Diceros bicornis minor: one gene and its partner. The protein of the gene in region 2 interacts with the protein of the main gene of each other region in a pairwise test. Links are inferred from orthologs where the notes say so. Each region holds a gene or a part of one and is shown on either strand. Other genes may lie near its edges.

Region 1 (15,336 bases), on a different chromosome or scaffold from region 2:
CCCGACCCTGCTCTCTCCTCTCGCTTCTCCAGGCACCGGATGTTCTGGGTCTCCCAGCTAAAGCCCCCAGAGACCCTGTGTAGAGGCAGGGCTAAACAGACCCTTGGTCCCGCCAGGCTCAGGGAAGGCAACTGTGGGGAGGAAGGGGAGGAGGGAAAAGATGGAGGGCAGGAGGGAAGGAAGGAGGGAGGGGGGTTCCTTCCTGACCCCGCCCATCCATCTTCTGGGAAACCTGAGCCCTGAGCACCAGGAGGACACCTCCAGCTGAATCACACAACCCTCCCAGGCCAGCATCCCTCACCTCTAGATCTGGAGACTCAGCAACTTCCCTTTGGAGGGATCACTGCCGATCAATGGGTAGTGCTTGCCCTTTGCCCATTCGGGTGTCATGGGTCCCGAGGTGTCATCCATATTAACATTTGGTGACTCTGTCATGAGTTTGGTCTCTTGAGACCTCCCTGAACTTTGGGGTCTATCTTTATATTCGAGGCCCCCTCCTCCTGCATCTCCTTGTCTCCTCCTACTCCAGTGCCCCAGTCCTGTCTTCTGGCCAAGCGGGCTGCTCACTGCATTCTGAACATGCCATCCTCTGGGGCCCCCACCCCTTCCCGAGCTGAGCTCTCAGTGAACAAACGTGCCTTTTGTGTTCTGATGTTGATTTCATGGCCTCTCCCTGGCCACGTGCTGGCACATCTCCCTGTTACCCCCGCACCGCCTACAGCGGTCCCAGCCCTTTCTAATTTGCTGTTTCAACCCGGGGCTGAGCTAGAAGTGTACGCAGAGTAAGGGTTAAGTGGTAAAGTGCTGAGGCTTTAGCTGAGCAAGGCCAAATCGGAGCCAGGCATTTGGCCGTGGGGGAGGCCATTCTCTCCTTCCTGTTCCTGGGCTTCCTGGAGTGAGGTGAGGATGCCAGCTGAGTGACCTTGGGTCCCAGCCACAGTGCCCCACGGGCCCTTCTTGTGACAGAGAGCATCTACGGTCCAAGGGTCCAGCCTGTCTCTCTGCTGCCCTCGTAGTGCTAAGCAGAGCTGGCTCCCAGTGGGTTCTCAGGACACCTGTGGATCGGCTGCTCCTCTCTAAGCAGGTTCCCCTACAGGCCATTCTCCACTGGGCAACCAAAACCCACATTTGAAATGCAAATCTGGGCTTGTCACCCGTCCCCAGCTCAGAACCTTCAATAGCTTCCCCTGGCCCTTAGGGAAAGAGGCTAAAATTCTCACCTGTGGCCTGAAGGGCCTCCCATCCCCTCTAGCCTGTGTCTTCGCCCTCCCAGGCCTCCCACCCCGCCCCCAACTCTCTAGGCTCCTGCCCCACAGGCTCCCTCAACAGAGCCTTCTCTGACCTCCCTGACCAGGCCAAACAGTCCTACCACTGGCTCTCTTAGTCCCTCTGGCGGGTAGTTCCGGACTTTGGGTTGTAGCGACTAGTGGTGGGCTCCCCCTAGAGGCAGGTGCTCCATGAGGGCAGGATCGTCTCTCTCTTGCCCAACAATGTGTGGCGCCTAATAGGTACTTCATAAATGTTGTTGGATGAATGAGCCACTGGTGTCCCCAGCTCTTTCTAGATTTTCCCCTTGGGAATCTCGAAGCCAGTTCCCCTTTCAACTTAACTTCCTGTGTCCTCACCTATGTCAGAGTCTAGGGTAGGATGTGTAGGCCCCTGGGAAGGTGGCACTGGCTGAAAAGCAGGCTAGGGGCGAGCCAAGCCCAGCCTCATCCTCAGAACCCTCTCTCCATCCCACTCCTAGCGCTGGGTGTCAGGCTGGGTGTGTTGCTGTGGTCTGGAATTCTCTTCCCGACCATGTCCGCACTGGCGTCACCTCCAGTGAAAACTGAATCCAACCCACGAAGGGGTTAGAATGTATCTGATCAGTTTAAACTCCTTGACGCTGAGACGGAACAAGAACTCTGGGATTGGCGATTCAACTTGTAGGAAACTGCCCCGAGAAAACATTCCCACAGTGGAAAAACTTTTTTGTTTTTTTTCCTGAGGAAGATTGGCCCTGAGGTAACACCTGTGCCCATTTTCCTCTATTTTATACGTGGGACGCTGCCACAGCATGACTTGATAAGTGGTTCGCAGGTCCATGCCCGGGATCTGAATCCGCGAATCCTGGGTTGCTGAAGTAGTGTGCGAACCTAACCACAACGCCACCAGGCTGGCCCCTGGAAAAACCTTTATACACAAGGACACCTATTCCCCATAACAGCAGACAAGTGAAAACTGCCAAAGAGCCCAGCACCAGGGGGCGGTTACACCGTGGCCGTCCAGTAGATGGAATTCCATCTGTGGTTGGACTATTGTGCCGTCTTTGCATGAACATCATAAAGTCTGTGAATTAATGTGGAAAATGGCAACTGACATAACGAGTAGAAAGACAGAATATATGACCTTATGGTGTCCCATGATGAACCCCATACAGGAAGAAGCACTAACGCGGCCATGGTGTGAGATGTGGTTGGGTCCAGGGGGATCTTTGCTCCTCCGCTCTCCTTGACAAACTTTCTGAACTGGGTGACACCAACCTAGCGCCAGGCTCCCAGTCCTGGTTCTGGGCTGCCTGCCCTCTCTCAGGGCTGTGTTCCTGAGGGCAGACGCCACCACGTTCACTCTGGCACTGACTTCCCACCCCTGCTCTAATCCACGCACAAAGCCTGTACATCGCAGGCACTAAATAATGCCTATTAAAGGAAGTGCCGGGTGACTGTCACTGGATGCTCCATGACAGCACCACATGCATCTCCAGTGCCAGAACAAGGCAAGGCCCATGGCTGATGCTCCTAGAGATTTTCTGAATGAATACAATGGGCCAGGGGACAGAGATGTCACCCACACCAGGTAAGAATCTCCAAGGGGTGGTGGCAGTGACCCAATCTGTGGGATCCACTGGGGCTCCAAGCTATAGCTGGGTTGTGGCCCAGTCCCAAGAATCCAGAGACCAACTTTAAGGCTGTGACATCAAAGAACAGGTTGACATTCTGCCTGGGCCAAGTCAACACTCTGTCCCCACACTGGAGGTTCATCAGGCCCCGGGCCAGGGGGAGCTGCCCGGGGCTTCAGGCTGGGGGAGGGCAGCTCCGGCAGCAACAGCTTTTCCGTTCCCCACCCCCCCCACCATGGCCGGCTGAACAGATCACAGGGCTGGCACTCCTCAGCCTGGTCCCTGGCCATCTCCCGTCACTCTGCTGTCTCTCTGGGTAGCAATGTTCCCTCTGAGGCTTCAATGGCTGTCTCTCTCTCTCTCTGAGATGAGACTCCCAGGGTCTCTGGCCCCAGGCCAATCCTCTCCTCTGAGCTCCAGACCCCAAGCCAACTGCCTGCTTGAGTCTTCCAGTTGGGTCTCCCAACCATCACCAGCCTCAGATTCAGCAGGTCTCCTAAAGATTTCACCGCCTTGCTCGCCAAACCTCTCATCTTCCACAGGGCACCCCATCCCCAGGGGGCATAGCGTCAGCCTGGACTCCTGTCTCTCCCCTATCTACCCCTTGCACCAGCTCCCTCACCAAGTGGGCTAACCAACCTCTAAATCTTCCTCACATCCTCCCCACCCCTCCTTCTCGCCAGCGGGATGGCCGGTCTCCCAGTGGTCTCCCTGCCTCCCCGTCCACTCTCTACCCAGCAGCCAGAGTGATCATCCCAAGATGGCATCCAAGGCTGTCGTTCCCTGCCTCCTAAACCCTTGCTGGTTCCCACTGCTTGTTCGTGGACAGGCCAGTGTCTCAACACGGCCTACGGGTTCCTGCCTGCCCGCCCTCCACTTGCCCCAGACCATGCTGCTTCACTTCTTCTCAAGCTGAGATGAACCCTTCCTGAGGCACAGGGCCTGGCTTCCCCCGGCCCCTCACCTGGGTCACCATCACACCTACCAGCCTGTCTTGTACGGCCTTGTCTGTCTGTCTCCCTCCTACACTGTCACCTGCATCATGGCCAGGCCCATGTCTGTGCCTCTGGAGTGTCTCTCTGTTGAGCCTGGCAAAGTGCATATATTTGTTGAGTGAATAAAGGAACAGCCAAGCGCGTACGACCTCATGAAGAGATGAATAAGGAGGTCCCTGCGCTCTTCAGTGACCTCATCTCTCATCCCTGAGGCGGTGTGGTAGGGTGCAGAGAACTCCATCCAGGGAGTTATGAGGCCCGGGTTCTGTCCCAGCTCTGCCACTGACTTGCTGTGTGTTCTCAGGGAAGCCACTCACTCTCTCTTGTCTTCTCCTAAGTAAAAGGGGAGGGGAGTAGTTTGGATGAGCTGATTTCTAAGGTCTCTCTCATCCCCAACTCCTCTTCCACACAGCCAGGGCAGGCTGCTCGCTTTACTTTCTGCGAGCATCCTTTGTCCCTCCCCCATGGACTGTCCCACTGTCCCTCCCTGTCGTCCCCCGTCCCAGCTCAATGTATTCATTGCATAAGTTTCTAAATCTCTTTTCTAGAGTTTTCCTTATAATGAACATGTATCACTTTAGTTTGGAATTTTCTTTTATTATTTTGTAAGTTACAGAATTAACCTATGCTTGTTATAGAAATAAGAAGTCAAATAATACAGAAGTATGTAAAACAAGTGAAAATCCCTCCCCTCATACCATATTCGGAGGGAACTACTAGTCACTGGTTGGCGCATTTCTATAATCAGAAACAAACACATATTTATTCAAACCAACTACCAACAGACGAACGCTCGACACCCCTCCAGCTCCACGCCTGGGTCACCCCTCCACAAAGTCTCCCCCAGTGTGCCAGGGCTCCCTCCTTTCAGCGTGGCTCTGAAATCAGATTGCCTGCGTTCCAACCCCAGCTCTGCCACTTCCCTAACCTCTTTATGCCTCAGTTTCTTCATCTGTAGAGTGGGGATAGTAATAACACTCTGTTTGTACGGTTCTGGTGAGGACTAAATGCTCTTGCACAGAAAGCACCGAGAGTGGTGCCTGGGGAAGAGACGGTCCCGAGGGCCAGTGCTTCCCACTGTTCTTCCCTGAGAGCAGGCCCTGCTACTCTCTGTACTCCAGGACACCAGCATCCGGGTTCCTCCCTCATTAAATAAGAAACCGCTAAGGCATTACCGAGCACCTACTCTGTGCCAGCCATTGGGCAAACCAAAGTTTAGGTGTTGACTTCTTATGCCTTTTGGAAGCTGACAGTGGTGCTGAGGGTACCCACACAATAATAACAACAATATTAAAAAAACAGCCCTGTATGAATGCAGCTTTCCACAGCCCTTGAAACACTCAACATGTGCCCTCTCATCCGAGTCTTAGGACTACCCTGAGCAGGTGCTAAAGCCGGCATCACGGAGAAGAAATAGGCTCAGAAGGTCAAGTGCCCAGTCTTGGTACATGGCTAAGAAGGCCGAGCCAGGACTCAAACCCAGCTGAGTCAGATCCACGACCCCACCAAAGAGCCACGAGAGAGCAGTAACCACCCTGGGTTAAACCAAGTTGGGCCCAGGGAAAGGGCAGCGGGGGCTGCCAGGGCAGGCGGGGTAGGTCACGTGGGGCTGGAGACACGGCCCTGATTATTCCCACAAGCTGGCCTTGTCCACGGCCAGGCCACGGTGTCCTGGAGGGCCGGCCCACACCACAGCCTTGGCGTACTGCCACCTGCGCCCACCAGGCCCAGGGCCAGATACACTCACTGGCTGGCATCTGCCACGTCAGCTCCTCTTGCTGACGTGTCCATGGTGACCTGACAGCCAGGGGCAGGGCTGGATGGAGTGCTCTGTCCTCTGTCACGTGGGGATGGGGGGGCAGGGTGGGCAAAGCTGCCCTCTGGGCCAGAAGCAGGGCCTGGAGGTAGAGTGGACTGAACACACACAGACTTGGGTTCCAGTCCAGCCTCAGGCTCTGACATCCTCGGGTTCCTCAGGCAAGTCCCCTGCTTTCTGAATCTCAGTCTCCTCATCTATAAAATGGGCAGACCGATACCCAGCCCAGGGTGGTTGTGAGAGTTAAATGAGCCAGCTCTGGGAAAACGCTTTGAATGGTAATGAGCTATATAAATGCCGGCTAACACGGGGGCTGACCCTGGTGGAGCACCGACTTGATATACATTAAGGAATCAATATTAATTAGCTTACCTAACAGATGGAACTCAGAGAGGACAAAATCACCCAGGTCATGCAACTAGAAAGTGGTGGAGCCAGGATTTGAACCCAGGTCCCTCTGAGCTCCATGCTTTTCCACTGCAGAGGGGCCTCCTGGTAGGAAGGCAGTGTGTATCATGTCAGGTGGAGTCAGTCTCAGACGTCAGCCTGGTACTCTGAGGCACTAACCACAAAGACCCCAGCCCTCCAGCCTTCAGGCTTGGCCTCCTCCATCTGGTCCCCTCCTTCTGGTCTTCCCGGCTCAGCTCAGAGCCTCGGGGAGATTTCTAGTCCTGATGATGCCATTAGAGATCCCCAGGGGCCCCTGCCCACCTGAGGGCCAGGGAGCCAGCAACCCCCTGGTCAGAAGAGGGGTAGGCGCCAGGGCCCAGCTGGGGCCTGGCTGGGGTGGGGGCCCCAGGAGAGGGGAAGGCGCCAGCTCATTAGATGGAGAGACAATGCGGTTCGTCTAGGCCTCCTTCTCCTAGGTACTGTAGCAGCTACACCCTCCTCTTCCTCCTCTCCAACTGGGGCCAGGATTATGGGGGAAGGACCTTCCCCCACAACATCCATTGTCCACTGCTCTGAAATCCACTTCCCAACGACCTAATATCAGAAAGGTTCAAGGAGGGGGGTAAAGGGGGAGCTCAGATCAGGGTCCTGGGTACTTACCCCAGCAGGGACCTGGCCCCCATGTTCCTCGCTACTCCGGGGCCATCCAAACCAGACTCCCCCTCCCACAGGGGGGCCTAGGATCTCCGGGTTGAGGCTGAGCCTTCCGCACCTGCACACACCTGACCAGGTCAGCGCTTGCCCAAATCCACAGAGGCTCCTGGGAGTTAGGCCCCTCTGGCCAGGCAGGGCTGGGGGAAGGGCCCACGACTCCCTTCTTCCAGCACCAAGAAACTGGGACCCGCGGGGCACCCCAGCCTGCTTCCATCTCTATTCAGAAGCCTTCGGACTGGCCACAGGCAAAGCCCCAGCCTACCTGCCTCCTCGGAGATCTCACTCCAGACCCCACCAGGCCCCGCCGCCGCCCCCAAGTGGGAAAGACGGCGGCCTCCGCGCCCCCTCCTCCAATTCCACCTCAGAATCTTCTAGCCTAGCACATGGAATGGCGGAGGGAGCTGCACCAGGGATACGCGGCGGCGATCAGTCTGGACTGGAGGCTGAGGGGGATTCTGGGGCCTCTGTCCGGGGAAGAGACCCCATCCCCACGCCGCCCTCCGGTTCCCGAGGTCTGGGGTGTGGGTGTCGGGGCCGGGGGGAGGGGAGCCGGGGCAGATCAGTCGGGGCCAAAGGGCGGGGCGCGGCGCGGCGGCCGGGGATTCTCACCTGAAATTGGGCGGCGACGCGATGTGCAGCCCCAGGAACGGGGAGGCGGCAGGCGGGGACGCGGCCCCCCCGCCCAGGCCGCCGCTCTCTCGCTCCGCCATTCTCCGGCACAGCCCTGGCCATCCGGGCGGAGCGCGGCGCGGAGGCGGCGGCGACGGCGGCGGCGGCGGGGAAGGAGGCGGGGTCGCGGCGAGAGGCCGCCGCCGCCGCGGGGCTCGGGCTGGGGCGGGCGCGGCAGGCGCACCTGCGCAGGGCAGGGCGCGGCTCGACCGCGCGCCGCTCTCGGCTCCGGCGCGAGCGCCTCCGCGCGCCCCGGGGCCCCGCCGTCTCTGCGCCCCGCCCCCGGCCCGCCCCCGGCCCGCGGGCCCCGCCCCGCCGGCGCTCTCCGAGGTGCTGAAGTCGCGGCTCCCGGGTTTGGCCCCGCCCCGCCCTCAGTCCCACACTGCTCCTCTGCCTCGTTTCCCCCTCCCGCAAAGCACTCCCCTCGGCCCCTCAGGGTGGGCCTAGAGCTTGGGTATCAGGTAACTACTGGCAGGATCCGGGTCCCCAGGGCCCTAGTTGGCCCCCCGCAGCAGACAAAGGTGGCACACAGGAAAGGAGGGTCATGGAGGAAGCCGAGAGTGTGTCAGGACAGGTCCTAGAGCAGACAGGTTTGGAGTCAGGTGGTGTGAAGTCACAGCCTGGCTCCCCAAGTGCATAGGTGGTGTGGCCTTGCACTAATGACTTAATAGTCCTGAGGTTGGTTTTCTCATCCGTGAAATGGGGACAATAATGGTCCCTCTCACATTTGTTGTGAGAATGAAACGTAAAATGTGTTGTCATCGGAGGCTGGGACACCCCACTTCCCTCTGGGATCCAGGTCTCACTCCATCTTGTCCCCTTACCTCGATGGGACCCTTCCAAGGACTCTCCCCTAGAGGGTCTCTTCTCTAAAGACTGAGCCAAGCCCCCCTTCAGCCTCAAACAGCTACTAATGGTGAACTGAGCCCCTCTTGGCTTGTCTCTCAGCTTCTCCCTCATGTAGGGACTTTCCCAGATTACTCCTTCTTCTCACTTAGCACCTCAGTTGCATTTCCTGAAAAGCACCCCTCTTTTGCACCCACAGACACCCCATAGCTGGCTTCTTACATTCTAAGACTTGGGACCTTTCCTCCTGCCCCCACAGTTGACTTCTTGGGATTCTTTGTGTGTGCGTGTGTGTGTGAGGAAGATCAGCCCTGAGCTAACATCCATGCTAATCCTCCTCTTTTTGCTGAGGAAGACCGGCTCTGAGCTAACATCTATTGCCAATCCTCTTCCTCTTTTTCCCCAAAGCCCCAGTAGATAGTTGTATGTCATAGCTGCACATCCCTCTAGTTGCTGTATGTGGCACACCACCTCAGCATGGCCGGAGAAGCGGTGCGTGGGTGCACACCCGGGATCCGAACCCAGGCCACCAGCAGCGGAGCGCGCGCACTTAACCGCTAAGCCACAGGGCTGGCCCCAGACTTCTTGGGATTCTTTTGGTGGTTTTTCTGTTTCCTCCAGCACCTCTGCCCGTGCTAGGTGTGGGCCATGGTTTCCTCTTGATCTTCTCTCCCCTCAGAGGGTTCAGCTTGTGAGTTTTTCAGAGTGTGGACTGCTAGACATTCAGGCTGTTGGCCAAGGCCAGGGCCCCAGCTTTGGTGGCTCCTAGAGTCTCTGGCCAAACCTCACTGGCTTCTCTGGCCACCTGACAGAACCGCAGAGGCCCTGTCCTTCACCTCTCTCTCTGAAGAAGGGGCAGAGTAAACAGTTTCACAGCTTGTAGAATCCTATTTGCAAATCTCAACTGCCAACTGGTCACGCCAGCCCCCTTTTCTTTCAATGTAGCACCCAGGGAGCAGCTGCAGGCACCTGTCCTGCAGTAAACAGCCCCCCAGCTCCAGCCCTGAGAACAGCCCAGTACCTAGAGCCAAAGGCCTTGGCCGCCTCTCTTCTTTCTGCCCCTGGGCCCAGACGGGTGGCCATTTTATCTTTCCTGCTGTCTTGGCTCAGGCTCCCTTCACTAGGCCCAAACAGTAGCCATCTGCTGCTATGGTGCCTGGCTTTTCCTCCCAGGAAAGCAGTTTTGTCACAGTGGCTAATCACTGTTCCTTAGAATGTGTGCTTGTCTCAACTAGGGAGCATCCTCAGGAGCTCAGGAGTGTGTGTGTAGGACAACTCTATCTTCCAGAACCTTTTGCTCAAGAACAAAGGTGTCTTAGCTCCCACAGCCAAGCCAAAATCACATTAGAGAGAAGCCAGGAGAAGGGAGAGGGAAGGTTAGGCCCAGGTCTTGGTGGAAAGGGGGCCAGCAGAAGCTTCAAAGCAGGGTGAAAAAGGAGATGAGTCCCAGGCTCGAGTTCCTCTTCCCTTTCTCACTCTGTGCAGGGCAGCCTGTGATATTCTTGGGTCTTACCTGAGCCCCTTCCCACAGGAAGCTGGGGTGTGGGCTAACAAAGCTCTCACTCCCAGTGGTCCAAGGCTAGAAACCCCTACAGGAAAGCCCATGCACACTGCAGAGGGGCCACTCTCTGGCCAGATGGCATGAGAGAAAGCCAGCATCCAGGACCTCGGCTTGGCTATGGGCAGGTCTCGACCACCTACCAGAGCCAGAGGGCTTGTACTCCCTCCACTCACACACACACAGCTGCAGCTTACCTGGCTGAGCTGAGGCAAGGATGGATTGAGGGCCTGGAGAGCCCTGCCACTGATCCCCAGCCTGGGGGGTCTAAGTGGGCGGAGAGGCCGGGTCAGCACAGGACAGCCATCAGGAACCCCACCCTGGGCCAGGGTGCTGTGTACCACTTTGGCTGATGGACCCCCACTCTGACCAAGCTCTGGAGCTGCCTCTGGTCTGCTGCAGTTGCTCATGTAGGAGCCTCCCATTTCATCTCCCCCCTTCCCCCTCCTCGCCACCTCCAAGGAAGGGTGAGAGGCTCCTGGGTCCAGCAGAACCCAGGTGTCCTAGCCTAAGGCTTACTGTGGCTCAGCCTTACTGACTCCCAGTCCCCAGCCCTCCCACAAGACTGACGACAGCACAGCTTTGCTCAGACAGGGTGAGACATTTATGAAACAAGTGACTATTCAAACAAACTGTGGGAGAAACACACCTTCCCAGCAATAGAAAATCTCTGTATAAAGTGCATTTTGCCTGCGACCATCTCTTCCCCATGCTGGCCCTTGGGTCGGGATCTGGGGCAATGCTTTGTGGCAGCCCTTAGGGATACCTGGGCCAGGAGAGGGGAGGCACCAAGCCATTGTGGAGGTCCAGGCCACTGGATGTACTCTCTCCTCACACGGCCCCTCCCAGCTCTGGGAGCAGATTTTTCCATTCCACGGGGAATGGACCAGCATGCCAGGGGTGGTGCACAAGTAGGGGGAGGTGGTCCTGCCAACTTGTACCTTAGGGAAGAGAGCCATCATCGGATAGGCAGGAAAAGGGAATCATCCTGATATTTGAAGGTACTGTTAATAAATACTGACTCTGGCCCTAAGCTCTCTGCCCTTCTGTTTCTCAAACCAGGCCTTCCAGGCTCGCTCTACTCTTCTGGCAACAGCCCCCGATTCTCTTTCCTCCTGCCTGGGGCTAAGGGAACAGGGCAGCCCCCAACCCAAGGCTGCAAATACACATCATCACCCGTGCCCTGCTCCCCCGACACGATCACGGGACGTTCCTAGTGAGGGTGACATACATACAACAGTTGGACTCTAAAGGCAGCTCTCTGGCTGAGAAAACCTGAGGACATCTCAGGAAGAAGCCTGTCAGTGTGCTGGACAGATGCAGGAGACAGGGGCCTGACCCCAGGTTCTGGTCCGAGGACAGAGGACAGTGAGGGACAGGGCTGGGGCCCAGGCAGTTAACAGCTGTGAGGCTAGGAAAGGCCACAGGGGAGGTAGAGAAGAGAAGGCCCAGAGGCCAGCTTAATGTTACACGTGAGGACAAAATCCAAAGAGGAATTAGCCTCTCGGCTAGGTGCGCACCTGTACGTACACACACACACACACACACACACACACACACACACACACACACGCGCACACACACACGCATGCGCACACACACACACACACTTGTGGCTCAAGTGCAGGCCATAACATGGAAGGAAGACTTGCTGCAGCTGACCCCACAGTCCTCTCTTCATTACACCTTTCTCAACACAGGCCTCCAACAGTGGAAGGGCTGAGGCGGGAGGCACAGGCCACTCCTGGAATGCAAAGCCTTGGCTTCTCTGGGTGAAACCTCCCACCTGCTGCTTCTGGAAGGGTTGGCGCGCTGGGTGGGATCTCTACTTGGACCTTTCCCAACTGTCCCTGGCAGTCCCCACCCGCATCCACCTGCCTGGGGACTTGGTGTCCAGCTACTGGGAGAGCTGATGTGGCAGCTTGGATGCTGACCAGTTCCAGGCAGGCCCTGGAAGCCTACAGAACAGACTAGAATGGCTTCCCTGGCTGGGAGTCAGCTGACCTCAACGGCAGCACTACGGTGCCCTGGAGTGTGGCCAGAGGAGCCAGGGGTCTTTCTACCACCAGGAACCTGGCCTCCTCCTGGAGGACGCACCGAGTCCCCACAGTCAGCTCAGAGGCTAGCCCTCAGCTTCTGGGGAAGGAACAGTGAGAGCTGGGATTCTATTTCCAAACTCAGGTTTTCAGCCCCAAAATGGTAGATGTATTTCTTGGGCTACCATCTATAGTACCGTGCATACGGCACACCGGTCAGGTGTCTGGTGTACTTCTGTATGATGGTGGAAAGTTTCAGATCTGTCTACAGCCTCGTGCTCAGTCCCAGATGCCCGAGGAAGGGTCTGGAGGACCCAGTGGCGGGGAATTTTAAAATAAGAAAGAAGCCAGGCCAGGTGGCTATGTCTGAACAGCATCAGTCCACTCCAGCCTCCAGGGTCAGAAGCAGGAACTCAGCACGACTCCGGCTGCCTCTAGAATCCCACACTCTGGACAAGAGCCAGAAATGTTGTCCTCCTGCTCCCCAGTCCGATGTGAAGAGGGAGCGAGTGCTGGGGGGCAGATGCCAGAATCCCAGCTAGAGTCCTACCGCTCTTCTATTCAGACAGGGCAGCTGGCTGGCAGCGACAGGTCTGGGCTGAAAGTCACTGCCATGACCTCTAGCCTGGTGTCTGGAGGCTGAGGTGAAGCTGCTACAGGGACTCCTCCGGCCCGGGCAGCGTTCAGAGTCACAAGAGTGTAAACGGATGCATGCACACGCAAACAGGCACAGCACTCCCTCCTCTGCACACGCGCACACACGCACACAGGTTCGCTCCATCTCTGTCGTGATGGCGATCAGCTTTTCTGCAGGTTGCACTCTGCTGCCACGGCGGCTGCTCGGGCACCCAGGCTTTGCTCGTGGAGCCACGGCGCTGCTGCTGAAAGAGACAAGCGAGTACAACAAGGAACGTTCAGGAGGCTACTCAGGTGCCCAGGGACACAAGCTCCTCTGGCTGCTTCTCTGGGGACACTCAGACTGGGAACTGGGAAGAGCCAGTACTGTGCACGGGCCACAGTACCCGGGGACAGGCTGGTTGCCAGGACGCCACCGGGTGCCTGCACACTGCCCCTCTGAGGTGCTGCCGCAGGACAAGCTCTCCCCCGCAGACCCTCTAGGCCTCCCCTGCCGCAGGGCCGGGGGCAGCAGAGGAGGAGGGGCAGGCCATGGGAGACTCACTTGAGGCCTTGGGTGACACTCGCTCAGATATGACAAGGGCAGTTTCCGAACCAAGGCCCAGCGGCTGCTGCCGGAGATGGAGAATGAGAAAAAAAACGGCTGGAACAGAAGCCAGCCGGGACCAGTAATTTTGAAGAAGAAGGCAGTGACTGAGTAGAGAATCAGCAGGTGAGCAAATTTCCACTTATAGATAAAAGAACTCTGGCACCGTGCTGGAGGATTGAGGGGGGAGAGAGGAGACACAGGATGAGTCACTTTAAAGATTTATAACATACTGAATCTGGGGCAGAGGGAAGAAATGGCCTCACGCCTGATAACAGAGGACAGAGTGAGCCTGTCATAGTCCTGGGTCGCCTGCTGAAACAGGTCTAGTGTGTCTAAGGGGGTACAGACATGCAGGGCTCCACTAAAAGTCTGCAGTTTAGACGTTGGGGAGGCAGATAATAAGGCTTACCAAGCGTACTGTGGGTCAGACACTGCACACCTGTGTTATGGTTGAACTGTGTCCCCTCAAGATTCTTATGTTGAAGTCCTAACCCCAGTGCCTCGGGATGTGACTGTTTTTGGAGACGGTCTTTAAAAAGGTAATTAAGTTAAAATGAGGTGATTAGGGTGGGCCCTACTCCCATATGACTGGTGTCCTTATAAAAAGAGATTAGGACACAGATGCACACAGAGGGAAGGCGATGTGAAGAGGCAGGGAGATGCGGCCATCTACAAGCCAAGGAGAGAGGCCTCAGAGGAAACCACCCCTGCATCACCTTGATCTTAGACTTCCAGCCTCCAGAACTGTGAGAGAATAAATTTCTAAGTCACCCAGTCTGTGGCACTTTGTTAAGGCTGCTCTAGCTAACTAACACAGCTTGCGGTCCCATTACCCCTGGAGATATGGCCTCCACTTTTACAGATGAGAATACCGAAGCCACAGAGGGTGAGCAAGCTGCCGGAGACGACAGCAGTGGGGGAGCCAAGTAGGGACACCCAGGTCTGTCTGTTTCCAAAACCTGTATTTTCACCAGTAAGTTATCTCTATGTTATATAATTGCTCATTAAGACTTTTAGAGGACACGAAAAGAAATTCAACAAGGTGGCATGAAGACTAATATCCGAGCAACATAAATGGAAATTCAGATGTTAATAAAAAAGGAAAAATGTTCTCAAGAGTTCAAGACATTGGAGTCAGGGGTTCAAAATCACTCTTCCGACACATGCCACGCTTTTCAGACAAATGTTAAACCTGGAGATTTTATCTGGATACATTTATCTAGAAGCTGTGTAAAACAAAGAGCAACCATAGGAGGGGGTACCCATATGGGTCAGTACTGAGTGCCTCACTCTTTAAAATGTGTATTATGTTCAACAATTTCTCCCTTTAAACTTGTACTATAATAACCTAGCCATATTTTTTCACTACAAATAAATATATTTGTTACTAAAGTGTATATGTGTTTACTGAAACATGCTGACTGTGCTACATGTTTTATACACAGGTCTCTCTCTGGCCCCTACTGTTAAGCCAAAGAGAAGATAATTCTTCTGAAACTGAAAATTTCTGGACTGGAGAGTCTGCCACAACAGGCGCTCCTGCTGACACCTCCACTTCTCTTCTCCACCTTCAGGGATGGAGGAAGATAAGAGCTTGAAGATTCCCGAGAACAAGGCTCTTATTCTGGGGTCCCTGGATGCTTAAGGGGTCCAAGCATAGGCTTAAGGGGCAGTCCACGAAGACCCTGAAGTTCTGAGCACATTTTTCTGTGTGTGTGAACAGGTGCAATTTTCTGGGCAGAGGATCTATCCTTCATTCGACTCTCCAAAGGGTGGTTAATCCAAAAACGGTTAAGAACCAATGCCTAAGCTTGGAAGATAAGGGGTGAGGTGCAGCCAGGCGACTATAATGGTAACAGTTCAGACGTATGTTGACTCGGGCACGATTTAGCTGAGAGCAGGCTCATGAAGGGATGGAGCAGTGTCCTGGCCTCAGACAAGCCCCAGTAACCCAAGTGCCTCTCTGACGTGTTCAAAACCACAAACACAGAAAATCAAGGTTTAGAAGACCCAGCCTGTCCTTGTCTACAAAGCTAGCCAAAGGCCTGTTCAACTAGTTCCTCAAGCTGCTTGGTCAGCAGATAACTGGATGGTCCCCCCGCTCTTGTTCTCAAGCTAGGGCACAAGTCTGCAGATAAAGGGGGCAGGAGGGATCAAAGGAGGCCTTGCAGGAAAATGATGACAGCAGCACGAAAGGAAAGGGAGG
Region 2 (15,066 bases):
ATTAAAATCAAGGTGTATCAGCAGTTGCAAACTAGTTAGCTGAAACTTTGCTTGATGTCAGTAAGTGAGCATCTGCATATAAGATTCTTAGCGCATATCTGGCACATAGTGAATATTCATCAAATTTTAGTTACTATTTTTATTCTTCATAAAACAAAATAAAAAGAAGTTCTTGACTGATTCTAGGGCTGGGGCAGGGAATATACAAGATGAGCCTGGAACATGGAAGTGCTCAAAACAAAAAACAAAAACCCCCATAATTATGGGGGTATGTCAAAGGCACATAGGAGCCAACTGAAAGCTTCTGATGACTAAAGCTAGAACAATTTGAGCAATAAAATAATGTAGAAGTGGATTATAACTCAAACTATGAAATAAATATTTATAATTCCATAGTGATATAAATAAATTATTGAATGAATAAATAAATAGGGGCAAATAGATAAATCTATCCACGTGGAAGAATTCCTTTCTTTGCCCTCCAGGAGGTGGAGTATAAAACTTCCCACCCCTTGAGTGTGGGCTGTCCATCATGACTTCCTTCTGAAGAGCACAGAATGGAAAGGGGGAAAAGGAATGATTACTGTGGAGAAACCTGACAAGCACTACTTCAGCCAGGAGATCAAGATTAACATCAACATGGTAAGTCACCTTGATAGTATGTACTCTCGATTTGGTGTGAGGAGAATGGCCTTTTACCTCTGTAGTCTTGCCCCCAAACCCCATAACCCCAGTCTAATCACAAGAAAAACATCAGGCAAATCTCAGTTGGGGGGGAATTAAAAAAAAAATACCTTACTGGTACTCCTCAAAGCTGTCAAAGTCACCAAAACAAAAACAATGTCTGAGAAACTGTCACAGCCAAGAGGAGCTTAAGGAGACGTGATGACTAAATGTAACGAACGTAGTATCCTGAATGGGATCCTGGAACAGAGAAAGGACATTAGGTAAAAACTAAGGGTATCCGAATCAAGTATGGGCTTTAGTTCATAATAATGTATCAATAATGTCTCATTAACTATAACAAATGGACCATACTAAAGTAAGTTGTTAATGATATGCCAAAATGGGTGTGGGATATATGGGAGCTCTCTGTACTCTCTTCGCAATTTTTATGTAAATCTATTCTACAATTAAAAAGTTTATTGAAAAAAGAAGACTGTAAGGTATACAAAGTTTATTGGAGGAGATAGGAATGTAATCAAAGAATTTATACCATGTGTTGAAAATCCTAATGAAGGTAAGTGTATGGTGGGATGGTATTACAGAAAAGAAAGAGGCCTTCTGGGAGGGGTGGAGGAGATTTTACCACAAAGGAGAAAATACTTGAGCTGAGGCTTGAGGAAAAAAATAGCAGTTGGTCAACCAGAGAGAAGAGGGGAAATAAGTACTTTTTTTGTTTAGTTTGCATTTACTTAAACGTCACTGAAGCAGAAGAATGGATGTGCGTCTTCTCCATTTTGAAATTCTTCTTGGCATGCCCCATCTTAATGTCTGTTTCTCTTGACTGGATTCTGATCTACAGAATTATAGTCCTTTGCCCACTGGATTATCAATTTATTAGGAAGATGAAATTAGCAGAAGTGTTTTTTATTTATTTTTTTTGTGAGGAAGATCAGCCTTGAGCTAACATTCATGCCAATCCTCCTCTTTTTGCTGAGGAAGACTGGCCCTGGGGTAACATCTGTGCCCATCTTCCTCCACTTTATGTGGGACGCCGCCACAGCATGGCCTGACAAGCGGTGCATCGGTGCACGCCTGGGATCCGAACCCGGGCTGCGGGGCATGAGCACTTAACTGGTACGCCATGGGGCCGGCCCCCAGAAGTGGTTTTTAAATGGATTTTATGATTCTGTTCTTGATCTAAAGGCCTGAAATCCTTAAAGATTTTGTTGTCACAAACCATTTGATTGTGCTATTTCAGGGTTTCTTGACCTTGAATTAGTGAAATTTGAGGGCAGATAATTCTTTGTTGTGGGGGGTTGTCCTGTTCGTTATAGAATGTTTAGCAGCATCCCTGATCTCTACCCACTGGATGACAGTAGAATCACCCAGTTGCAACAAGCAAAAAAGTCTCCAAATAGCGCCAGACTTCCCCAGGGGACATTAGAGAAATACCGCTCCTTTTCAAACTCAGATTGCAAAGTTAATTGTAGGCCCTAAAGGCACGTATTGCTAAAGAGAAGTTAAAACTCTGAAATACCCTGAGGATGCTTCTCATAGTAAACAAGATCTCAAGATCTCTTCAAAATAAGTTGCAGTTTGTAAGGTCTGATTTGGGTGAAATACCAGAAGCCAAATGCAGAGTTTATGCTGTTTTATTTCATTCATTCATTCATTCTCCAAACACTTATTGAGGTCCTGCCATGTATCAGGATCTATGCTAGGTTCTGAGGATTTGTTGGTGAACAAGACATACCCAGCTCCTTTGACGGGGAGCCTGGTTGAATTCTGGTGCAGGTCCCCAAACCTTTGGACATTGAAGACTCGATTTACGTGTAATGGTGACACTGAAATAATTGTCCTAATTGATTTCACCTGAAGGATCATATATGGATCCTGACTTTATTTATAGGCCTTTTCTTCATGCATATACTACTCCTTATCACATGCCTTTCTTCAACCTCCTGCCCTTTCCCAGTCCCAGAGATAAGAGATGGACCATGGGACTGATGGAATTGTATTGGGTCTTCTGGCTCTCAAGAGTCATTATCCAGTCAGATGTTTTCACTGACCTTTGCCTGCAGAAATTGCTCCTAAGAGAGAGGAATTTAAAAGCAATGAAGCTGACCACTTTGACCCTGCTACCATATTCCTAGCTTTCCTCATGGTGTACTGTGAAGTACCGCTGCACAGGTTCTTAACTCGAGTGTTTGTGGAACTGGCCTGATCAGAACATTTGTGGCTGCCTTAGGCCCACCTGAATCCCAGGGCTTCCTGCCATTGTGTCTTTAAGTCCTAAATTTTTCAGGAAAGTCCTAATTTTATTCAACTTTTTTTCAATCAGTGACACTTGTTAGAGTCCCTGTTGTTTCTTCAAACACCTGCCAAGACTTTTCATATGACTATGTTTGCAAATCAGGAGGATTCCCTTGTCATATTATACCTGGTGTCTGCGTTTTTGGTTTGGAAAACATAGCTGCTGCATTAGTTGTCACTTTACGTCTTGCTGTGTCTTCCTGGCCGTGGCTACCCACCAGGAACATGCAGCTGACTCATGGCTCAGGACCTGGTTCCAAGACTGGCAAGTCGAAAAGTTGTAAAAAAAAGGTGGGGGGGGGCGTTTCTTAAATATAAAGTTCTTTCCTTGTGAATTGCAGTTATTATTATGTCAGAGGTATACTGGGGCTGCCTGGTAGGTGAGATACCTTATGAGGTCTTTTTGGCACTTTTTTGATGGTTTCAGTCCGGCTCTGTTTTGCAAGTGGCAGAGATCCACTCAAGCTCACTCAAGCAAAAGGAGGATTATTGTAAGGATATACTAGGTTAGGAACTAGACCTGGAGCACGATCAGGAATTTAGGCAGCTCCGTGAACTTCTGCCTGTCTCTCCCCTGGGCCTCTTAATCTCATCTTCAAGGCTGGGAAAGCAGACAGTATGTTTGAGGAACCAAGTGGAAGGCCAGTGTGTCTGGACTGTCACATGAGGTTCAAGAGATGGCCAGGGGCTCTAGATCATGCCAGAGCTTGCTAAAAATTTTGGATTTTATTCCAGGAATAATGGGAAAATGATTGAAGTGTTATAACCAAGTGATTGACATGATCAGCTTGACTGCCCCAATTATTCTGGTTGCAGAGGGAGAAGTTTTGAGGAGGCCATGGGAAAACAAGAAGTGTGATAAGAGTTGGGCTGAAGGAAATAAAGAGAGCCATGAGGGCATGTAGAAGGGCCTCCAAAGTGAGTATGGGAGCTTAGGGAAGACTTCCTGGAAGAAGAAATATTTTAGATGAGATTGTAAAGTTAAATAGGAGTTAACCAGATGAAGCGAAGGATTGGGAGGGGAAGAATGTTCTAGACAGAGGGAATAATAGGAGCAAACACTGGGAGACAAGAGAGAAACAATCCTTGTGGAACTTATGATTTAATGCAAAGTTTCTCAAACAAAAAAAGAATCATTTTATTTTAATATAATTTCAAGTTCACTGAAAAGTTGCAAGAATAGTGCAAGAAACTCCCACATACTCTTTGCTTATTTGCTCTCTCTCTGCCTAATACACACACACACATTTTTTCTTCTGAAATATTTGACAATAAATTGCAAAATCATGTTCCTGTACCCCTAAATACTTCAGGCTATATTTCCTAAGAACAAGGACATTCTCTTTCCTAACCAATATCAGACATATTGACATGTCCATATTGAAATGCTTCTGATTTTCCAATAATGTCCTTCAGAGCTATTTTTTTCCCCAGTCCAAGTCCGATCCAAGGCCGTGCATTGAATTTAGTTGTTGTATCTCTAAAAAGTTCCTCAGCCTTTCTTTCTCTTTCATGACCTTGCCATTTTTGAAGAATACAGGTTGGTTATTTTATAGAATGACCTTCAATTTGGGTTTGTCTGATGCTTTGTCATGATTAGATCCAGGTTACGCATTGTTGTCAGTAATATCACCTGGTATCTGTTGTTTTTTCCATATTTCTAGCTTCTGTAATCTTGATGCTTTAACATCTGCCCTGCATGCATATGCTGGACACACCTTGTTCTGGACAACCTGATAATGTGCCTGAGTCACCTTGCCTTGACCTCTGGCCTCCCTCCTCAGGAGTTCTCCCCAGGGAGTGCTTTTCAAACACAGACTAGCCAATCCTAAATCTGTTTACCCTGCCTGCCTGTGTGTTCCCTCAGAAATCACAGAGAAGGTGCTTGCCCACAACCCGCCCCCCTTTCTGTCTCCTAGTGAAGAGTCTGGTGGTGCCCTGTGGGCCCCCAAAGGCGTGACCTGTATTCTTTCTTTTGGGATCTGTGAGTATAATAAACTATCTTTTCACTGATAGTTGTCTCCTGATCTGTTGACCTTACATACCTAAATAATAATAAATCCTATTCAAACATCTGCCAGGTTCTCCACTTATAGTTACTATTTTCTCTTTTCAATTAATAAGTAATTTGTGGGGAGAGATCTCAAACTTTTGTGACTGAGATGCATAATAAGAAATATATTTTACATGGTGAGACAGCATATCTATCCATCTATCTATATCTGAAACAAGAGGGCCGGCCCCGTGGCTTAGAGGTTAAGTGCGGGCGCTCTGCCACTGGCGGCCCGGGTTCGGATCCTGGGCGCGCACCAACGCACCGCTTCTCCTCCCTCAGCCGTGTCCCACACACAGCAACTAGAAGGATGTGCAGCTATGACATACAACTACCTACTGGGGCTTTGGGGGAAAAAATAAATAAATAAATAAAATCATATATCTGAAACAAGAGCTTTGTGAAACAAGTCATATCTTTTCCATATGAAAGTTATTTTAGTTTCTATTCTATTCTATTTCATTTGAAAATAATTTGATAAATTGATTTCATAACCCTCTAATGGGTAATGACCTTTGTTTGATAGCACTAGTCTGATGGAAATATCACTTTGGATCATCTGCTTGCAGAAAGGAAAATAGGTGGATAGATGGGAAGGGGTAAAACTGACAGCAAGGAGCCCATTACAAGGCTCTTGTGATAATTCAGACGAGAGAGGTTGGTGGCTTCTGGGAATGAGGTTGAAAGAAGTGGGTGGGTTTGAGAGAAAAGTGAGTGAAATTGAGGAACTTGAGTTAACAGAATGGGTGTGGGGAAAAGAGAGAGGAGTCAAGAATGACAATTACCGCCTTGGCCTCTGGGGCAGATGATGGTGCCCCTTACTGAGATAAGGAACTCTGAAGGTTTATGGTTCAGGCTCTGTCATGTTGAGTTTGTGGTTTTAGGGACATTGGATTAGAGCTGTCCAGTGAACAGGTGGCTCCAGGGCACTCAGGAGGCAAATCTGGGCTGGATTAATAGCAAACTGAAGTTGGATTTTACTCAAGGAGATTTTACAACTTCATGCCCACTGCAGGAAGCAGAAGTTGGCTCAGGATAGGAACAAATGCTCTGAAAATATTTCCAGTAATTTGGCGTTGAGATGCATAAGTAAAATAATATAGACAAGTCAAAAATATATCAAGGAAGTCAATTAACATAAATTTACTAGAATAAATTTCACTTTTCAGCACTTTCCTGTCTCTTTCGGTTAACTGCTCTGTAAAGTCTTATGTGCATATGTGTAGAGAGATGTGGAAAATAAAGAAATTACACTTTTGCATAATATAAAAACAATGCTGCCTTAAATCACAACTCCATTAACCTGGGCTTTCCCAGATGCTGGTCCTTAGATTTAATCCTCCAAATCTAGCAACGAGAATTCTCAGGTATAGATACGGCAGATAAACACGAGCATGGTGCAGGCTGCAAAAGATGCCTGTTTTCAAGCGGCACGAGTTTCGGGTTGCATTGAGAAAAAGGGGTTTTCTAGTGGAAAAGAGTGTGGATGCGTAAGTTTATATGCATAGTGTTGGGAATGATGGACTGTGCTCCGTTAGTGGTCCCTCATCCCCCATCCCCACCCTTTATCTGCTCCCCTCCCTCCCGTTCTCCCTCCATTCTTTCGGCCTTCTCCGGCGTTATTCTGGGATTAACGGCAGGGTCGGCCCCATACACAAACGCAGCTGGCTCATACGGTCAGCCTGAGCCCTGCTGTGCAACCACGTCAGGAATTCCAGTAAGTTGGCAACACTGGAGCACAAAGACAACAACAATGAGGAAAACCCTTCAGTGCAGAAAGGAATGTTTGGAGCCCCGGCTGCTACAGTGAAAGGACGGACACACACACACACACACACACACACACACACACACACACACACTCCCGCCCGCGCTCACCCTCCCGCATCCCCACGCGCCCACGCGCGCACTGGGAGGCGCGCAGCCCCTCCCGCGCATGCGGTCCCCCTGCCCGCCGGCGGGCCCAGGGGCGCGCCTCGCCAGCGCCCGCCGCCGCTCTTTGTAACTGCGTGGTGCGGAGACGCTCATTGACTATGCAGCGCGGCTCCAGCCGGCGTCGGAGCGGCCTGACCCCGGCGCGGTCTCGTACCATCACCCCGGCCGCCCGGAACCGGCATAAATCACCCGGGGAGACTGAAGTGCAGCTTCTCGCCCCCTCGCCGCTTCCCTCCTCCCACCCGGCTCGTCCCTCTCACTTCCCACCACCGTGCGCCTCGGGTCCCCAATCCTGCCTCCTCCTCCGCGCCGCACAGCGCCAAACACTGTGCAGAGAGGCAAATAGCGTTTCAGTGACTTTGGTCAGATCAGAGAACTCTGGATTTCCAAATCTAGAAATCTCGAAAAGAAAGCCACGAAATATCTCCCACACTTCCTCACAGCCCTGCTCTGTTAAGTCTTAGTTTTCACTTTCTGTGTCTATTTCTCCGTCTCTCTCTTTTTGTTTTTTAAAAGCAATATCTACCCCCCCCAAAGCTTCACCAACCGCTAAAGCCCACCGAAGCTACGCGATCCCGACTGTTGGGGGTAGGCAGAGCCCCAGACGATCCGTGCTCTGCAGAAAAGGGGTGGCATTTACCGGCAGGTTCTCGCCCTGGGGAGGGCGAGGCGGAGGGACCCTGCCCGGGGACTTCGTGGATACAGGGCTGCCGCCTCCACGGTCACGGCCCCTCTGACTGAGGGAAACGGCTCCCAACTCCTGGGACCAGGACCTGGCACCTGGGACCCCGCTGCCGAGTTAGTCCAGGGACCGGGGAGGGAGATTCTGGGGCGACCCCGGGCCCGGAAACATCCTCTCCCAGGGCCAGGCAACAGGATGCACCAACCCTGCTTTTTTTTTTCTGTTGGCTCTGGTGTCACGTACCTGCTGAGGACGAATCTCTGAGGGTGAATGTAAAGTTCACTTGTAGTGCTCTTGGGGGCCAGCTCCCCGCCAGCCTGTCCCAACACTGCCCCAAGGAAGGGAGCTGCGGGGTTCTCTGAACCCCTTACGTTCGTTTCTCCCTCACATAGAGGGGCACCAGCAAGATCAAGACGTTCATTCAAGTTTGCTTCAGAATGAACAGACTTGTAGAAGCGCATTCAAGTTTGCTTCAGAATGAACAGACTTGTAGAAGCGCAATCTGGCCGTGACACCTGTAGATGTGGTACTTAAGAAAAGTAAACAAGGGTCCAATCCCCTCCCCGACATTGATGCAACCCCCTCCATAACTTGCAAAAAACACAGAGCACCCCATCTCAGCGCCTCAACTCTATGGGGGGAAACCAGAGTGTTGGAGGGAGACTGCGGATTTCAGACTAGAGAATGGTCACAACTCTCTCCAGCAGGCTCTTTACTTCTCCCCTTCCCCTGTCTTCCTTTTCTTCCTTTTCTAAGTCTGATTTCTCCGTGGACCGCCTAGCCGACTTATATGCGGAGGATAATCCTGCAGAGGGGCTAGGGCAGCGCAGGACCGCGTGCGAGTGTTTGCATGTGAGTGACTGTGAGAAGTGTGTGTGCCCGTATGAATGAGGGTGTGTAACTGTGAAGTGTGCGTGCATGTGTGTCAGTGTCTGTGCGTGTGACTGGAGTGCGCGCACGCGTGTGTGTGACTGAGGACTGTGCACGCGCGTGAATGAGCGTGTGAGACTGCGTGTCAGTTTGTGTGACACTGAGGAGTGTGTGCGACTGTGTGTGAGGCTGTATGAGTACGTGTGTGGGTGTGCGCGCGTGGAATGTGCATGTGTGAGCGCGGTGTGTTCGAGTCCCCACTCCTCCCTCGCTGCAAAGTGCAGAGGGCGGGCCGGGCGGCAGGGGGCCTGCCCCGCTGGATTCCCGCATGCTAGTTCCGGGGCGGTCGGGTCTAAAGGGCTTTATACACTGTCTGGAGGGTGGGGACTGGCGCGGGTAGAAAACGGGATGCCTCGGGCGCCGGGGCCGGCTCTCCGCCACTAGGAGCCCGGCGAGGCGCGGACCGAAAGGAGCGCTCGCGAGCGGAAGTGGTGCGGGTGCTGTGTGCGACGCGCGCCCACCTCCCAGGGAAGGAACGGCGAGGCCGGGGCCCGGGACTGTCGCGGGGATGGAGCGCGGGGCGGCGGCGGTGGCGTGCACGCTGCTGCTGGCTTTCGCCGCTTGCATGGCGCCGGCCAGTGGTCAAGGTAAGCGCCCGCCGGCTCAAGCTCCGCGCGGAGCGCCTGACTTCCCCTGCCGTGGCAGGGTCGAGTCCGCAGGCGGGCGATGGGGACCGCGGCCCGGCAGGGGCCAGGGCAGGGCGGCAAAGCCGGAGCGGCCCCCCCTGGGGCGCTCAGGTTGCCCAGCGAGGGGCGAGTGGGAGCGCCCCTCCTTCGTCCGCTCGGGAACTGAGCAGCCGCAAACTTGAGAAAGGAGCTCCTCCGGTTTCAGCGACAGCTCACACCACCGGGACCCCATCTTTGTTCCCACGGGAGTTTGTCCCGACCTTCTGGAAAGCGCTTTGCAGTTGGGACCCGGAGAATGAGGTTCTTTCCCCAGTGAGTGCGCAGCCAGCTACCCCCACTGATTTATTCTCTCCGGGGCTGAGCGGTCCTCGGCGCTGCTCGGTGCGCAGTTTTCCACCTGCAGCGCCCCGCCGGGGAGATCCCGTCGCGCGCCCTGGACTGCTGCGGGCTAGAGCCGCCCCCCGCCCCCCTCCTTCTTCACCAGGGAAACTTGGTCCCGCGGTGACCCCCAAGAGACCGCGTCTCGATACAGATCATTTACGAGGCAAGATAAGGCCGGGAGGTGGGATTGGCTGAGAGAGCGGCTGAGGCACTGGAGCATTTTCTTGAAGGGTTTTCCTTTCCATCTGGGAGGTGGGGGCTTTTGTGTTGATGAATGGGGCCCGTCTGCGCGGCCAGAGTTTTGAGGGCTCGAATGAAGAAAGTTTCTGTTATAAAGCGCTTTAAACTTCTCTCAAGTTGTCGGAGAGTTTACCTTTTTACAGAAACAGAGGTAGAGAAAGAGAGGGAGGAAGGAGTGGAGAGAATAAAAACAGTACGAGTCCCCTAAGAGAGAAGACGACGAGCACGTAGAGAGGAAAAGGGAGAGGAGGAGGAGAGAGCGACAGAGCTTGAAGACAGAGTACAGCAGCGCGTGGGGGCGGGGGGGGGTGGAGAGCGAGAGGGAGGGCGAGGGAGAGCGAGAGCGCGCGCGAGAGAAACCGGGGATGAATGGGAAGAGCGAGAGGAGGCCGGGGAAGCGGCGAGCTCTCTCCCTGGCTTTGCGTTGCTAGGTAGCAGCCGGGAGCTGCGTGTGACCGACCACCAGACAGACAGAGCGGACGCTGCTGCCTCCGCGGGGACTAATCTGTCTATGCGGATGGAAGAGTCCCTCCTCCCCCTCTTCCTCTCCCGCTCCTTCCTTCTCGTCGGACAACTTAATTGCCCTACAATGAAAATGAAACCCCTATTGTTGTAGGATTAGCCAAAGCAATAAATTGATTTCCCTGGATCACATATTGGGGTTGACGGGTGGGGACTGTGGAAGCCCCCACTTATGGCGGAGAGAGAGGCGGGCTTGTGGATGGGCCGTGGCGTGTATTCAAATGGTTAATCTGCCTTCTTTCCTCAATTCTTAGCATAAGCTCCTTAGAGGGAATCAACTAAGTAATCATACAGCAACTCCTAGTAGTACCCATTTCAGACTTCCTGGGAAGAAGTTTGGAAACGCCAACATACTCCACTGGTCTTGCAAAAATCGCAGGAAGGGAGGGGAGGCAGGGGGAGACCGTTAATAATTCTTCCTTTGAACACCTTTTCTCAGTGTTGGTAACACAGAAAGAGGATTTATTATTATTGTGGAGGGTTTGCCCCAGTGCTTAGGGTTATATATATCTCGCGTCCTAAATATAGCCATAGGATTTACTATATGTTCCTGTCTGTGCCTGGCAAAAGGAAATCTTGTCCGGATTCATCTGGGATACATCTGGGTTGTCCCCGTACAACCAAAACAGATGTTCTCTCCCCTGGATTGATGGTTTAGTCACCAAATAACCTGTACTTGCTCTTCCTGGTAGTTTACATCTATCCATCTTCCATTCTATAATAATAATAATATATAATAATAATATGTATAGTAACATATCATACACTTATACATGTGGCAGGCCCTGTTCTAAGTACTTTACACTTACTGACTCCTCTAATCTTCATAATGCCCTTTTGTAGTAAGTACTCCTTCTCCCTGTTTTACAGATGAGAAATGGAGGCACAGAGCAATTAAGTAACTTGCCCAAGGTCATACTGCTAGAAAATGGCAGAGTTGTGAGGCAAATCCAAGAGATTCTGACTCCAGAGGCTATAATTTAACTGCTGTAGTGTGTAGCTCTCTCTCTGTTTCTCTGTCTCTCTTCTTTTGTACTAAAAATGTCATGCTCCCTAAGTTACTAACCATGCGTGAGGTTACTAAAGAAGCTGAGGGGCATTTTGCAAGTCTTTGCCACATAAAGTCCAATCCACCTGCTGCTCCATTACTGTGGATATTTTTTCAGAAACTCTTCAAGTTTCTATGACCCAAATCCAAGTATTCTCACTGCCGGTCTTCCTTCTTGATCATTTTTACATATGTGTCCTCTGAATGTCCTTAGCCTGGAAGGTTAAGGAGATTTCTAGATTCTTGTTGTATTGATTCTACTTATCTGATGAAGTAAGTATGATTACAATGGAAATGCCCTTATTTTAGCACCACATTTTAGGTAAGATCTTACTGCAAACTTTGCATCATTAGAATTTGGAAAAGAGTTCTGAGTGTTTTATGGTTAGTCTTTTAAAAAAATTATAGCCTATCTGTAGCTACAAATTATTTGCATTTTCCTCATATTTTGTATACTGCTTTTTAAGAAAAAATTTGAGAGACTGAACTCTGGTGTCAACCTGTCTGGGTTCCAGCATTGGCTTTACCATTTTCTAGCTGTGTGACCTTGAGGAAGTCACTTAACTTTGCATGGCTCAGATTGCTTATCTGCATAATTGGTATGATAATGAAAGAATCTATTCCATGGCATTTTATGAACATAAAGATGTAAAAGTGCTTAGCATGGTGTAAAGCATATAGACCATCATCATAAACTAGCAGCTGTTTTATTATATTGACCAACACAAAGTAACATTCTTTTGCTTACTATTCATATTTCCAGTTTCCAAATTCACATAGGAAAGTCTTTAAGCATTTTCCCTAACGTTTCTTTGAGGAATTCTCAGATCCCAGGATCTGATTTGAAGTTTTTTGAGAAAATATTATTGATCTTAAACAAATTTATAGTCTTTCATCCAGTGCAAGTGTGATTTACTATCAGCTTTTACAACAATTACATCTTCGGGTGAAGTTTATGTGTTTAAAAGGATTGTGGGGCCAATAGGAAACATGCAACATTTGGTTCCATCACGTATCTGATACTTCACTGCTGCTTTTATTTCATAGCAATTGGCTTCTCTTTCTCTGCTTGAAGTTCTTCCTTGCTAGTGTTTAGGGCTTCTGCTTAAACTCCCTTCAGTCATGTGCCTGTCCTGTTTTAACAGAAACTTAGACTTTTACAGCTGGAGAGAACCTTAGATATCAACTGGTCTACTTGCATTATTTTATAGATAAGTAACTAAACCCTGGAGGGAAGGGAGGGAGACTGAAAGGAGTGACAGGGAGGGCCCTTAAGTGCCTTGCTTAAGGGCTTGTGACCTGTGATAGAGCTAAAATCTGAACCCAAGTCTCCTCCTTCAGTCTTTCTACTTGACCATTTTTAGATACATGTCCTTTGAATGCCCCTAGCCTGAGATTTCTAGATTCCTTTTCTGTTGATCCTGAGTTATCAGATGAGGCAAAGTATAATGAAAAGATGACCTTGGTGAATTTTCTTAAAAAATTGGATGGGTCACCTGTCCCAGGACTGCCTAAGAGGAATGCTATGATAGGTTAATACAACCATCTGCCATGTGCTTTCTGCTTGGTCCAGAGTTTATGCCACGTCTTATGCTCCAACTCCCAAAGACCATACTTCTGGCTTCATTTTTCAAAATTTTGGGCCATCAAAGCACATTGCTAAAGATCTCTAACCTACACGACTAGGTTTTTAGTCTTATTCAAGGTAATTATTAGGTCATGGTTAATCATTGTCTGTGTTCTCTAGGAAGGTACTCTGAGAACACTGACAGGTTTTAAAAAATGTTTAATTAAAAATTTTCATCATCATCTTTTAGTAATGATATCAAGAACCTAGATGTATTTCCAGTGTGCCTAGAAGCAAATTGTAATATTGGCTTTGGGGTTTCTGTTAAGTTCTAGTAGCTAGAACAAGGTATGTAGAAAGTAGAGGGTGCTTACAAAGTTTGTTGAATTGAAAGGAAAGGGATTCTAAAGATTGACTGCATGATATAGAACAACCAAAAAGGTACTAATTGTGAAGCTCTATTCTAATATGGGGAAAATGAGTTTGATGGAGCCTTTGTTGGTGTAAGTCAAATGGTTATATCATATCCTATTAACTTTGTGATCTTGAGGAATTTAAAAAAATTGTCACCTCTGTGGCATATTCCACAAACATTTATTAATATTAAGTGTCTACAGTGTGCTAGTGAGTCAGGAGTATCAATATTACAGAAAGGTTAAGGAGGATGAGAACTGAAAGAGGAGTCTAGATTTCACAATTAAAATGGATTGCAACTTAGCATTTACGATTCTGAGACAGTCATTCTATAGTTCTTAATAACACTGGCCAGGATCTCACCAACATTAGAAAGGTTTGACATGTTTCAGCCTCAGAGTTTTGGGCTGCCTCTTTAAAATGATCAGATTGGTAGTTGTTTTGAAATGTTGAGACATTTCTTTGATGCTTCATATGTTCCCTAGGGGTCCACGCAAATGTTTCATAAGCAATTTCTTGACAAGCTCAGCATTGTGAGATGAAGTGGGAAGAGTGAGATTTTGGGGTGAAAGGATCTGGGTTTGAGGCCTGGCTCTGCCTTTTACTATCTGGGAAATTCAGTTCAACATACTCAACTGCTTTGGATCAGTTTTTTTATCTGTAAAATGGGCACATGTTTACCTCATAGGGTAGTTATGCCAATTAAATGAGGCGAGTATGAAATGTTTTACAGACTGTGAAGTCTCATATATATTTCTATCCATTATTATTACTCTTGTTAATAATTTAACTTTTGTGTGGGAGCTGGCCCCGTGGCGTAGCAGTTAAGTACGCGCTCTCCGCTGCTGTTGGCCGGGATTCAGATCCCTGGCGAGTACCGATGCGCTGCTTGTCAAGCCATGCTATGGAGGCGTCCCATATAAAGTGGAGGAAGATGGGCACAGATGTTAGCCCAGAGCTGATCTTCCTCACAAAAAAAAAAAAGAATTTAACTTTTTCCAAACTTGAGGAGAAGAAGATATTGTAGTATCTTGGTATCTTTGTTTTTTTTTTACAAGTGGTCCTTTGAATGATGCACCTGTGCATGTTGAGATCTCATTTTAGTGGCTACAACAACCTTACATACTGGTCTGGACTCATGTTTGTGAATGACAGAAACCTAAGTTAAACTGCCTAAAGCCAAAAAGGAAGTTTATTGAGATACGTAATTGAAAAGATACAGATATGAAGTTGAACCATATGGGATTGCCACTTTTCTGGGTCATAATAAAATATTGGCAATTTCCTTTGGTTCAGCCTAAGATAAAATGGGGGCTCAGCCTGTCATGCTGATCTGGTTTCTTTCTCTGTCTCCTGACTCTGAGATGACTCTGCTCTCAAATGTGTTTTCCTCTAGTGTTATATAAGATGGCTGTCCATGCCTCCTGGAGCTACATCCTTTCATATCATGTCCACTGGGAAAGAGCAAGTGTTTTTGTCTTGTTTGTTCCCGGAAAAAGTCTCAGTTGCATCTCAGGGGCTCTGCCTCGGTCATAAGCTCATTGGAGAACCAGTCACTGTATCCAGGGGCATGAAGTGTGCCCATGGCTTACGCTTGGGTCACATGCTTCATCCCTGAAGTCATGGACTAAGGATATAGCCCAGAGGGAAGTTGGGGTAATGCTACCAGGATAATGGCGAACAGATGCT

The links.
Region 1: the proteins of LRP2 (region 2) and MAPK8IP1 interact in a two-hybrid assay, tested with the Homo sapiens proteins (2 studies listed by BioGRID). The link is inferred for Diceros bicornis minor from reciprocal best matches to the Homo sapiens genes LRP2 and MAPK8IP1.

Annotation. Positions count from the first base shown.
Region 1 is NC_080770.1:24,289,872-24,305,207, forward strand, and holds the start of MAPK8IP1 (C-Jun-amino-terminal kinase-interacting protein 1), read right to left. Parts: upstream 7,565-15,336; 5' UTR 7,507-7,564; coding exon 7,406-7,506; intron 7,398-7,405; exon of another isoform or gene 7,059-7,397; intron 6,677-7,058; exon of another isoform or gene 4,453-6,676; intron 1-4,452. UniProt on the Homo sapiens protein: The JNK-interacting protein (JIP) group of scaffold proteins selectively mediates JNK signaling by aggregating specific components of the MAPK cascade to form a functional JNK signaling module. Required for JNK activation in response to excitotoxic stress.
Region 2 is NC_080749.1:51,009,110-51,024,175, reverse strand, and holds the start of LRP2 (low-density lipoprotein receptor-related protein 2), read left to right. Parts: upstream 1-8,925; 5' UTR 8,926-9,087; coding exon 9,088-9,166; intron 9,167-15,066. UniProt on the Homo sapiens protein: Multiligand endocytic receptor. Acts together with CUBN to mediate endocytosis of high-density lipoproteins. Mediates receptor-mediated uptake of polybasic drugs such as aprotinin, aminoglycosides and polymyxin B.